3 linked regions of the Rattus norvegicus genome follow. The protein of the gene in region 3 interacts with the protein of the main gene of each other region in a pairwise test. Links are inferred from orthologs where the notes say so. Each region holds a gene or a part of one and is shown on either strand. Other genes may lie near its edges. The genes, in order: C5h1orf94, Sox30 and Cfap206.

What was found.
Region 1: the proteins of Cfap206 (region 3) and C5h1orf94 interact in binary tests that used the Homo sapiens proteins (3 or more experiments, as listed by UniProt). The two-hybrid records come from large-scale screens. The link is inferred for Rattus norvegicus from reciprocal best matches to the Homo sapiens genes CFAP206 and C1orf94.
Region 2: the proteins of Cfap206 (region 3) and Sox30 interact in binary tests that used the Homo sapiens proteins (3 or more experiments, as listed by UniProt). The two-hybrid records come from large-scale screens. The link is inferred for Rattus norvegicus from reciprocal best matches to the Homo sapiens genes CFAP206 and SOX30.

What each region holds. Positions count from the first base shown.
Region 1 is NC_086023.1:145,586,198-145,589,847, reverse strand, and holds part of C5h1orf94 (uncharacterized protein C1orf94 homolog), read left to right. Parts: coding exon 1-355; intron 356-3,650.
Region 2 is NC_086028.1:30,922,661-30,926,310, forward strand, and holds part of Sox30 (SRY-box transcription factor 30), read left to right. Parts: coding exon 1-68; intron 69-1,202; coding exon 1,203-1,382; intron 1,383-3,650. UniProt on the Homo sapiens protein: Acts both as a transcriptional activator and a repressor. Binds to the DNA sequence 5'-ACAAT-3' and shows a preference for guanine residues surrounding this core motif. Binds to its own promoter and activates its own transcription.
Region 3 is NC_086023.1:54,092,548-54,096,793, forward strand, and holds the start of Cfap206 (cilia- and flagella-associated protein 206), read right to left. Parts: upstream 2,837-4,246; 5' UTR 2,715-2,836; exon of another isoform or gene 2,658-2,714; intron 1,816-2,657; 5' UTR 1,811-1,815; coding exon 1,703-1,810; intron 1,151-1,702; coding exon 1,067-1,150; intron 300-1,066; coding exon 209-299; intron 1-208. UniProt on the Homo sapiens protein: Essential for sperm motility and is involved in the regulation of the beating frequency of motile cilia on the epithelial cells of the respiratory tract. Required for the establishment of radial spokes in sperm flagella.

The sequences.
Region 1 (3,650 bases), about 91 Mb from region 3:
GTGAAGGGGACTAAAGACAAAAGTCATAGCCTGGGTGCCTCTAATTCAGAGATCAGCAAGCTCCTGGCTCAGTTCCCACTGAAGTCAACTGAAATGTCCAAGGCCCCAGACAACAAGATGGTGCTGGAAGAGACCAAGGTCATTAAGGACTTCCTGCAGAATAGCATGTTCAATGGCTCCGGACCCCGGGAGTCCATGGGGCTGGGCCCATTCCTGCTGCTGCCACCCCCACCTCCTCCCGCAGTCCCCGACAAACTCCCCGAGTTCTCTCCTCCGAAGAGGCAGCTCCCAGTGTTTGCCAAGATCTGCTCCAAGACTGAGGCTGACCCAGCTCTTGAGGGCCACCACTGGATTGGTGAGTGGGGCTGAGAACAGGAAAGTGAGGGGGTTTTCAAGGAAGAGAGCCTTGATCAGGAAGCTGATCAAGGCCATGGTGTGTCTTTGTGCAAAGCAAAAACAATGCAGCCTCTCTGGTTGTGTGTGTATGTGTGTGCGCCTAAGTGGTATATGGATGTTCATGTGTGGATAGATACACACACGTATATGTCTAGAGGCCAGAAGTAATGTCAGGTGACTTCCTCTGCACCTCTCCATATTCTTCACACACACACACACACACACACACACACACACATTTCTGTCTTCAGACATATCAGAAGAGGAAGTCAAATCCCATTACAGATAGTTGAGCCACCATGTGGTTGCTGGGAATTGAACTCAGGACCTCTGGAAGAGCAGTCAGTGCTCTTAACCACTGAGCCATTTCTCCAGCCCCCCTCCGTCTTATTTCTTAAGATAGGTAGGGTCTTATACTCACCAAACATGAAGCCCACCAATTCAGCCAGAGTGGCTGGCTCGGCAACTCCAGGGATGCTGACTCTGTCCCCAGCACTAGGATTACACACATGTGTTTCCGCACCCAGCTTTGTATACAGATGTGGGAAATCCAAACTCAGGTTCTCAGGCTGGTGTGAGAAGCATTTCACTAAGTCAGCCATCTTTCCACACCCTGCAAGACACATAATTTCTGATTTCATTAGGTACCCAGAGCATACTGGAGGATTTATTTACCTTATCAGGAAAGAGCCCAGCCTTGAGTCTAGGCTTGGAGAGAAAATTGATTGGCATATGGGGGTCACTTACCTTTTTATGGAGACACCCATCCTGGTCATCAGGACTGCTCCACCCTCCGTAGGGCATAAGTTCAAACTGTTGGTCCTGGGATTTGTTCTCTGAAGCTCTAGAACCTTAGAGAAGCATATTTTTAGCTCTTGAATAGGAACTCTGGTCATCCCAAGGAACTCATCCCCCTCTGGTGCTCCCTGCCCATCTCTGGGACTCCACATTGTGCATGTTCAGACTGGATTGCAGAGCCATCTGCCCACAGTCGCCAGTCTCTAGAAGAATAGATTATACTTGCGCCAACCAAGAGAAAGGTCACCCCCAGGCTGTAGTGTGATGCTTAACTGACAGTGCCTGTCTAGGGAGGGCTCACAGCCCTGAGAAACAGGAACAAGGTCACCTTCCCAAGTATTCTATATTCTGGAGCAGTGGAGGGACCCCGGGAAATCAGAGCTGAGGTGACAAGCTGGACATAGTACTCAGCAAACCTGGAGGAGTCACAAGGCTTTGGGATGATGGCAAAGGATGGAGGAGGCTTGAGCCCTCCCCGAGAGGGAGAGAAACACTTGCCCTCTCCTTCCAGAGGGGAACCTTCATGTTCCTCGATGAAGGGACTGCAGAACAGAGGTATCTTCTCCACTTGCCCTCCCCACACTCAGAGAGTGCCTTGTGTACAAACCCGCGGGCTAGGTGTGCCAGAGAAATCTTTGTTCAGGGTGAGCATACTCATTAGAGAAAGCACAGGGTGTAGAGCTGAGGGTGCCTGTGTGTGTGTGTGTGTGTGTGTGTGTGTGTGTGTGTGTGTGTGTGTGTGTGTTGGTAAGTGTGCTTGTCCTGAGTATGTCTGTATAGTTATGAGGCAAAGGGAAGACAGACAAATGAGGAGAGAGAGAGGTGGGGATGGGAGAGGGGGAAGAGAGGGGAGAGGGGGAGGAGAGAGAGGGGGAGAAAGAGAGAAAGGGGAGAGAGAGGGGAGAGGGGGGAGAGAGGAGAGAGGGGAGAGAGGGGAAATAGAGGGGAGAGAGGGGAGAGAGGGGGGAGAAAGAGAGAAAGGAGAGAGAGAAAGGGGAGAGAGAGGGGAGAGAGGGGAGAGAGGGGGAGAAAGAGAGAAAGGGGAGAGAGAGAGGGGAGAGAGGGGAGAGAGGGGAGAGAGAGAGGAGAGAGGGGAGAGAGGGGGGAGAGAAAGAGGGGAGAGAAGAGAGGGGGGAGAGAAAGAGGAGAGAAAGGGGAGGGGGGGACAGGGAGGCCGAGAGGCCAAGAGGCTGAGAGAGAGGCAGAGGCAGAGGTAGACAGAAAGACAGAGGGAGAGGGAAAGGGACAGAGAGTTCCCAGATGCCAGAGGGGTCTTGCAGATGTTGTAGCTGTGTGAGTGGCTGCAAATATGCTGGTCTCTGGGGAAAATGACTATTATTAGTGGCTATATTACTTCAGCGCTCTAGCTGGGGGCTAAACTCAGCAACCAGAGGAACTGCTGGAAGAGACTCTGGGGACATGCTCTGCTAAAAATGTCCCTGGCTGGAGCAGTGCTTCCCCTTTTTTGGGGGGGGGCAGGGAAGGTAGGGCCCAGGCCCATGCAGAGGCCCCGAGGGCTTGCTGGGTTGGGCTGGGCTATAGAGGAATTCATGATATGGTGGAATCACGTCCATTACCATCGGTAACGCTGAAGCACAGGCCCTCCCGATCTGACTGTTACTAGAGTTCCCAGGTGCTTCCACTGTGTCCAGAGCAGCTCATAGCCATCCACCTGCAGGCAGACTTCTCAGCCAAGCTCTGTCGAGGTGTTCAGAGACAGCCAGTCTGAGGAAGGAGTGAGGGGGTAGAGAGGCCAAAGTCCACTTTCTGCTTCTAACAGATAAATGCCTTAATAGTAATTATGTAACACTTGCGAGTACATGTATATAACATACAATTTATGTGTACACACATTTATCAAGCTGTCTCTATTTCTTGGTTCCAGGAACCCCTCAAATACCCATTCAAAGATGCTCAAGAGCCTTATACACAGTAGCACACAGCTCCCTCCCTCCCTCCTACACTCTGTACATAATCTATGGATCACCACTGGTGCCTAATCCAATGTAAATGCTGTGTAAACAGTGGTTACACCATTGGTTAGGGAACAATGACAAGTAACTCCGTATGCGTTCAGTGAGGGCACAATTCTGCCTTGAGTGTTTCGCATCCATTGTCCCACACACGGAGACACTCCAGTTTTGAAGAAAGGCTGCAACACTGAAGGGAAATATCTCTGCTGACATGTCAGGTGTATTTGCAATAAGACCTGAGTCTGGCACCCACTGAGTCCTTCCGTTGGGTGACTCCAGTCACTTAGGATGAGTCACCTTGTTCCTTTGATGCTCCTGCCATTTGTTTGTGATTGTCCAGGCCAGTGACATCTTTCTGATAGCCCCCAATGAGAGTCTTGCTAAGCCTTCCTTCCTTCTAGGTTAAAGGACCCACTCAGACAGACAAGATCCCAGTCAGTATCTCCTTCCATTTTGCCTCTTTGTCACCTCACAGTGACCATC
Region 2 (3,650 bases), on a different chromosome or scaffold from region 3:
AGAACAAAAGAAACCTTATTATGATGAAGCACAAAAGATTAAAGAGAAGCACAGAGAGGAATTTCCTGGTAATCAAATGAAATGAGCAAGACTCTTTCCAATTTCTTTTAAATTTATTTAGGTAAAGATTAAGTTAGGTTGAGATCTCCTAATCTCTGTGTGAGAAAGAAAATAATGGTTAACATAATAGTGATTGAATTAATACTAAGCATACATTTTAAGTAGAATACAGTTGTGAAATATCTGATTTCATATTTACCAGCTACTGTAAGTCAGGAGATATTTGGTTTTACTGTAATAGATATAGGTATGTACAAGCATACACACACACACACACACACACACACACACACATACACATCTACATATAGGTATGTACAAGCAGACATATATAGCTAGTTTTACCATTTACTGTAAGTCTCCATGGTTCCATTCTGTAATATACTAGACATATTAAATAATCATGGCAACAACAAACACTTCCCACTTAAAAGATAACAAAAATGCAGGAATTAATATCTTATGGGTATCAGAACATAGTCCCGTGTTTTGATTAATAGATTTATTCCTAGCATGAGACAGTTTGGACCAACTGATTCTTCCTCAGCAGTGAGGACGTTGAGATAAAGGTTGGGAACTATGTATTCTTTGTGGCTTACAGAACTGTGCATAGTGGGAAAATCTTTTCTTAAATATAAGCAGAAATACTTTTAAGAGGCAAGATTATGAAGTATCACCTAGACAGAACCAGTGATCGTATACATGATAGTGCCACACTTCTGACTCTGGGAAGAAATTAAGGTGTTTATGGTTTTAGCAATTGCCAAGCCTCAGAGAGTGATTCCTTAAATCAGGCATAAACAGAGGGGATATATAATGTCTTATGGGGTATTTTTCTTCCACAGAGGAAAAACTTTGGGATTCAAACCCAATGACTGGTGTAGATTGTATCATGAAATCACTCTGTGTTCCTGTGTAGAAGGCATTTGACTTTCCTCTCTATTAAGGGTTACATTAACAGAGTTAGCAGCTATGTGGATGTTAAAATGCACAGTGCAGGATTTGTTCACAGAAATAGTATCATGGAGCTGGAAACTATACCTTTAGACAACCCATATTTTAAAACTTTTAAGTGAGCTGTGTTTTTATATGAAAAAGCCAGAGTTTGGATATTCATATTAAAAGTCTCTCTTTTTCTGTAGGATGGGTTTATCAGCCTCGTCCAGGGAAGCGAAAACGCTTCCCTCTAAGTGTTTCCAATGTATTTTCTGGTACCACACAGAATATTATCTCTACAAATCCTACAACAATTTATCCTTATCGCTCACCTACCTACTCTGTGGTAATTCCCGGCCTTCAGAACACCATCACTCATCCAGTTGGTGAGTTGGTCCTACTGTAGATAATTTGTAAATACCTACATCAAAATTTTATCTCTTAAGTGGAAATTTGGTTTCTTAAATTTATAATTTAGAACAATAGTAAAGAAATAAAATCAAGAAGGGATAAAATGAAACATTAAATGGGAGAAGGAGCAATAGCAGATCCATGTAGAAAACTCTGACTCTCTAAGAAATTTAGGGTGAGAGCCAAGATTAGTCAGATAGTGAAGAAATTGCTGGTGTAATTACATAGAAAGTAGGGATGGTGTAACCTCCAGCATAGAAGAACACTTTGCTAGAGGGGGTTGAGACATTCTCTCAGTGATATTAGTAAGGCCACTGCTCCAGAAAAGCGATGAAAGCTGTACATTTTCTATACATTTCTTGTTTGGTTCATGTTCCTTACAGTCTGGTCTTAAACTGAGATTCTCAAATCTTGGCTACCTGTTTCATTATTGGCTTGTTCCTCCGAAACGTTTACAACCGTCTCTTAGGGAGAGTGCTGTCCATTCACTATTACTGCTGCCTGTCTTAAAGTTGCTCTTGCCAGTTTCTGCCTGTTTTAGTCTCCTAATGATAAAGCTGGCCCTATGAGTTAGAGAGGGATAGAGCATGAAAATGGACTTAGTAATATTTTGCATTCTCAGTACTTTTTTATTAAAGATTTTATTATATATATGTTTGTTTTCCTATATGTTCCTATATGAGTCTCTCATCCTGCCTCCCTCACCACCACCCTCCTTCTCTTTCTCTCTCTGTCTCTGCCTCTCTCTGTCTTTCTCTCTGTGTCTGTCTGTCTGTCTGTCTGTCTGTCTGTCTCTCTCTCTCTCTCTCTCTCTCTCTCTCTCTCTCTCTCTCTCTCTCTCTCTCTGTGTGTGTATAGTGTGTGTAGTGATCAGAAAGTGTTAGATCCCCTGGAACTAGAGTCGTATTTCAACACTGAGACCTGAACCTGGGTCCTCAGCAAGAGCAAGTACTCTTAACTTCTGGGCTCTTTCTCCAGCTCCCATTTTCAGTGTCTTTTAAACTGTGTCATTTAGCCAATGGAATAAACAAAGCTGCACTCAAGATACTAGTGTACGCTGTAGAAAGTTGATCTGTAGCCTCCATTTTGCAATACAGTCAGGCACTTTTAGTGTTGACTGTAAGACTGTGCTTCAAACTGGGCTTTACCATCTCTTTGTTTTGGTTTTAGATATTATTTTTTACTTTAGTACGTGCTTCTTTTTGTCCCTTCCTCCCCGCACCCCAGACTTTCCTGGCATCTGTTTTGCCCATTTTCAAATGCTCATGTTTCTCATGAACAGATTTATCAATGTTCTTATTTTAAGCAGTTGAGATTTTATACAATATATCACTTTTACACCATCTGTGCAAAGATATGGGCTGGAAGAAGACTAAAGATTTCCCCCTGATATTGGTAGGGTTTATGCATCATGATTTTATTACTTAAATATGGTAGACAGAATTACAGGAAACATCTCAGAAACATACAACAGTAAACAAAAATGTGATAATGAGACTTTGTTGGCTACTCTAAAAAATTGTTTACAATGATATTTCTTGTGAGGGCCAGAAATGGTAAAGATTCATTTCTTGGATCCCAAATGATAAGCCAAAACATTTTATAAATATAATTTGAGAATTGTTTTTAGATAAGTATAATCCATAGTGAAGAGATTTACTTGCTACTAACATACTGTACAGTTACCCAACTTTGAAATATGCTTAGGTATTTCCATCAGTTCCATATCATATTATTTAGAGGTGATAGTGTAACTAGGAAGTTTAGAAATTTCACATTCTAGAGTAACCGTAAAATTATTAAAGCTAGTTAATAGATGATACCACAAGTATTAAAGAACCATAGTTATTGGCTAGCTATAGTGGTACATACCTTTAGGGAGGTAGAGGCAGGCATCTCTCTATGAGTTCAAGGCTAGCCTGGTCTACAAAGCAAGCTCCCGGATAGCCAGGGCTACACAGAGCAACTCTGTCTTAAAAAAAAAAACAAAGAAATGGTGGCTAGAGAGATGTCTCAGTGGTTAAGAGCACTGACTGCTCTTCCAGAGGTCCTGAGCTCAATTCCCAAAAAACCACATGGTGGCTCACAACCATCTGTAATGAGATCTGATGCCCTCTTCTGTGTGTCTGAAGAAAGCTACAGTGTACTTATATAGGATAAATCTTTAAAAAACAAAGAAACAAACAGAAAAACCTATAGTAAACCTAAAATCTACTATAAACTATAATTTGCAGATAATGATT
Region 3 (4,246 bases):
ACTTGTTCTCTGTGTAAACTGATTATCTCGGGCATTCTGTGAATGATAACAGAAGGCTGCCTAACAGATCAAAGACATAAAAGATCAAAAGACAGACAAAAATTAATGTGGTTAAACAAGTAAGCCTGTTATCAGCCAGATTTAACCTTTCTTACCTAAACTGCAATATTGAAAACTTAAAATGTATGAAGGTCGGTGTCTATGTTACCTCGACTGGTGTAATTCATGTCGAAGTAGACCTGCATTTTAATGGTGTCCAAGGATGGATTTTTGTTGTCCAATAGCCGTGCCACGCAAAGCTGGAAGAGAACGTTTGCATGAATGCTTCTGCTGTATTTTTCTGAAACATTCAAATGGTTGGTTGGTTTGTTTGAGTTTTGAATTTTGAGGTCTTATGTAGCCCAGGCTAGGCTCATGTAGCCCAGGCTATATCTTCACTATGTAACAGAGGATGATCTTGAGCTTATGGTCCTCCTGTCCCCACCTTCCCACTGCTCAGATTACCACACCTGACTCTATACAGCAAATGCCTGGGTATCTAACGCAAGGCTATTTTTTTACGCATGCCAGGCAAGCAACTGAGGTATCTAAGCATCTAAGTTATTTTCAAAAAGGAAAGAAAATGGGCAGAATACAGTATTCTCCTGCAAACCCCGCTCTCAACACTCACAAAACAGAGGCAGGAGGACCCACACAAGTTTTAGGCCAGTGAGAACTACAAAAGAGAGAGGCCAAGGTGGGGACACGGCGGGTCCTGACCCCCTGATTGACAGTGACAGTTGTCACTTTCTGAGAGGATCTGACTGAAGCAGACCATTAGTTCCTTTGTCTTTCTTCGTCATCCATCAGGGGGCATGACGTTGAGGAAAGGCAAGGGTGGGAGCCCAGGAGGCCAGGAACAACCTAAGTACCTCCAGACACTGTTTTATTAGAAAATAACTCCTCACTTGTTTACACTGCCATCTGCATTTCTTTATAAAATTGCTGAAGACGGGGTGGAAAACACAGTGTTCCATTTAAGATTTTAAACAGAGAATCCCAAACCCGAGGACTGTCAGTCAATCACCTTAACAAGTTTCTGCACGTCAGTCTTGACGAGGGTCCTATCCATGTTAAAGCCATTGCTGGGATCTAGGACGACAGCTTTCACCTACAAACACAGCATATGAAGTGATTTTACTCATATCGTGAAATTAATTCACTTCTGCTTTTTAACCAATTTCCTTGGTGTTCAGCTAATTTTCTTATCGCTCCCTCTTTAGTGCTTTCATTATGGGGTGGAGACAGAAAACAATAAACATCAAATATGGGCAACACATAGTAAAAAGGCTGAAAGGAACGGTTACCGTTCCTAGAGCTGGAAACTGGATCTCTCGTTCTCAGTATGTGTGGTTAAGGGCACAGAAGCCAAAGCAAGGAGTAACTTTTATAACATGCATTTGGACAAAAGTACACGTTAAAACTTCACAGCAGAATATTATTGAGGTTTCTAAGCTAACAGGATCTCCTAAATCACTCACTGCAAAGCTACAAGACGTTTTGCAGACTTGGAAAAGATGCCTTTCACCGAGTCATCTGATGATCTTAGTGTTTTCGACTAAAAAGCACCAGGAAAGCTCCTGAGAACTTTAAAGGGAAAAACCCTCACTTTCACAGTTTAAAATTTGTTTACAACAGGACTTACAAAAGTGATCAATCTTACCATAAAAGCAACCACCGTTTCAGAAGTGATCTCTCCATGGGCTGCACATTCTTGTCCTATTTCTCGTATGATATTCTTTATGACACTCTCTGCTTGTGTGGGAGGCATTGTGGCTGAGTAAAGCAATAATTTTCGTTTAGTAATTTCATTTATGCACTTTTCCTGGTTTGATTCCATTATTAGATCTGAAATATCCACAGTGTCTACAGAGTTATCACTATTTAATTATAATCTACTTTCCTCCTCTTTTTTTTTCATTTTAAATGACTTTAGTGACATAAAGTAACTGGGATTTCCCCCGAGTTTAAATCACTCCGCCATCAGAAATATATATTGTGACATTAAAAAAAAAAAGTAGCTAGGGATGGTGGCTCATGTGTTAAATTCATCACTCAGGAGGCAGATGCAGACAGATATCTATGAGTCTAGTGCCTGGTCTGACTAGGTAGCCTGAGTCAGGGCTATGTAGTGAGACCCAGTCTCAAAACCAAAATGTAAATAAATAAATAAATAAATAAATAAATAAATAAATAAATGCTTAGCAGAATTTTGGTGAAAAAGAAAAAGAAACGAAAAAGCAAGCCCATGTGGAGGCAACAAGAATACAGCTTGTAAAAGAAAGTGCTTATCAGTACATTTATTAGCGGATCTTTCACAACTGTAATACAATTTAATAACTGTAAGAAAAAAAGTTTTCCCGGATTAGTCCATCCTTGGGATACGGACTCTTAAGAAAAACATCAAAGGTCCAACCACATCTTCGAGAAGAACAAGTACCTCGCTTCCTTGGAAGCCAGTTTGCTCATCTGAAAAAGATGAGTTATCACCTTTTCCTGAACTTAGGAGTCTACTGAAAAGTGAGCGGCTTGGCGCAAGTACCCAAGCAATGCCAGTCACCAGCCCACCAGCGATGTCAGACCTGCAGGTCACACAGCCAGGTTGAGCCTACCCCTACCTGTGCACTTGCCCAGAGCGGGATGCCTGCCCGCCCACCCTGTTGGTTACCAACTACCAGCACTAGTTCTGCAGCCGTCCGACGTCCGTGTTCTCGCTGGTACACCTGCGGTTTAACGGCCAGGAGCTCCCTGGGCGCTGGGCTTGGCCCGAACGCCAGCCCAGCCGGCCGCAGCTCTCCCAGCCAGGCTCAGAGCCCAAGCTGCAGATGCGTAACCGTGGAGACCGAACAGGACGCCAAAGCTGGGGGCGGGGCCTGGCTATGGGGGTGGGGCCGGAGGGCGGGCCCGGGCCGGGGCCGCTGGGATGGAACCTTTGGGGTGGCACCTTAAGAAGAGGGGCGTCGGGGTTGGGGATTTAGTTCAGCAGTAGAGCGCTTGCCTAGCAAGCACAAGGCCCTGGGTTCGGTCCCCAGCTCCAAAAAAAAAAAAAAAAAAAAGAAAGAAGAGGGGCGTAGGGTTCTCCCTCAGTCTCCGAAGAGACAAAGCAAAAGAACTCAAGTCCCAGGCGCTTACACCTCAGTTTTAAGACAATGAAACGTGAGTTCTAAAATAAAGGTTGGATGTGCATACGCTGTTCCTGGTAATTTGCTAGCGTGGAAACATGGAAAAATACATCAGTTGAAAAGAATGAGAAAGTCTAGGGGTTATCAATGTTCATAGTTTTTTTGTTTGTTTTTGTTTCGTTTTTTGTTTTGTTTTGGTTTTTTTTTTGTTGTTGTTGTTGTTGTTTTGTAAAAGCATTCTTTCGAAAAAGGAAGTCTATATCCTGGTGTTCCAAATACCATAGTAAAACTTTTCATTAAGGAAGTGTTTTCACACCAGTTATGGTACCCCACCATACATAAAATGCAAGTAAGGAAACCTGTGCGTTTGGAATTGGGGGTTATAACTTTTGTTTGTTTTCTTGAGAGAGGGTCTTACTGTATAGTCCTGTATGATCTGGAACTGGACATGTAGACCATGAATTCACAGAGTTCTACCTGCCTCAGCCTTCCAAATACTGGTCATGTGCTGGATCAACGAAGGTGTTTTGATACCTAAAAATGTTTGTTGCATGGTTAGAGATATGGCTCAGAGGTTAAGGGAACTGACTGGATTTCCGGAGCACTGGGTTGATTCCCAGCACGGACATGGAGGCTTACAGGTGTCTGTAACTCCACTTCTGGAGAGCCAACTCCCTCTCCTGGCCTTGTTGACAGTCTACAGACACACACCCAGGCAAAGCACCCATTCATGTAAAATAAAACAATAATTTTTAAAACTTTTCAATGTGTGTTGGGTGAGCCTAATGAACTTTTTTTTTTGTTATATTTAGGTATTTGTTGGGGGCACACATGAGACAACTCAGCTTTTCTAAAATGTGAGTTCTAGGATCAAACTCAGGTCTTTGTGCTTCGTGAGGCAAGCCATTTACTGACTGAGCCTCTATATCTCCTCTTTAAAAAGTCATTCACAAGCAAAAGCCTGTGATGCCTACGGTTTCATTGATTAATTAGTTCTATCAATTGATTAATGTTGACATTGGACTGGGTCAGTGGTGTCCATGTTGATTCATGATTGCTTTGTCTTCAAGAAGCTCCAAGCCTAT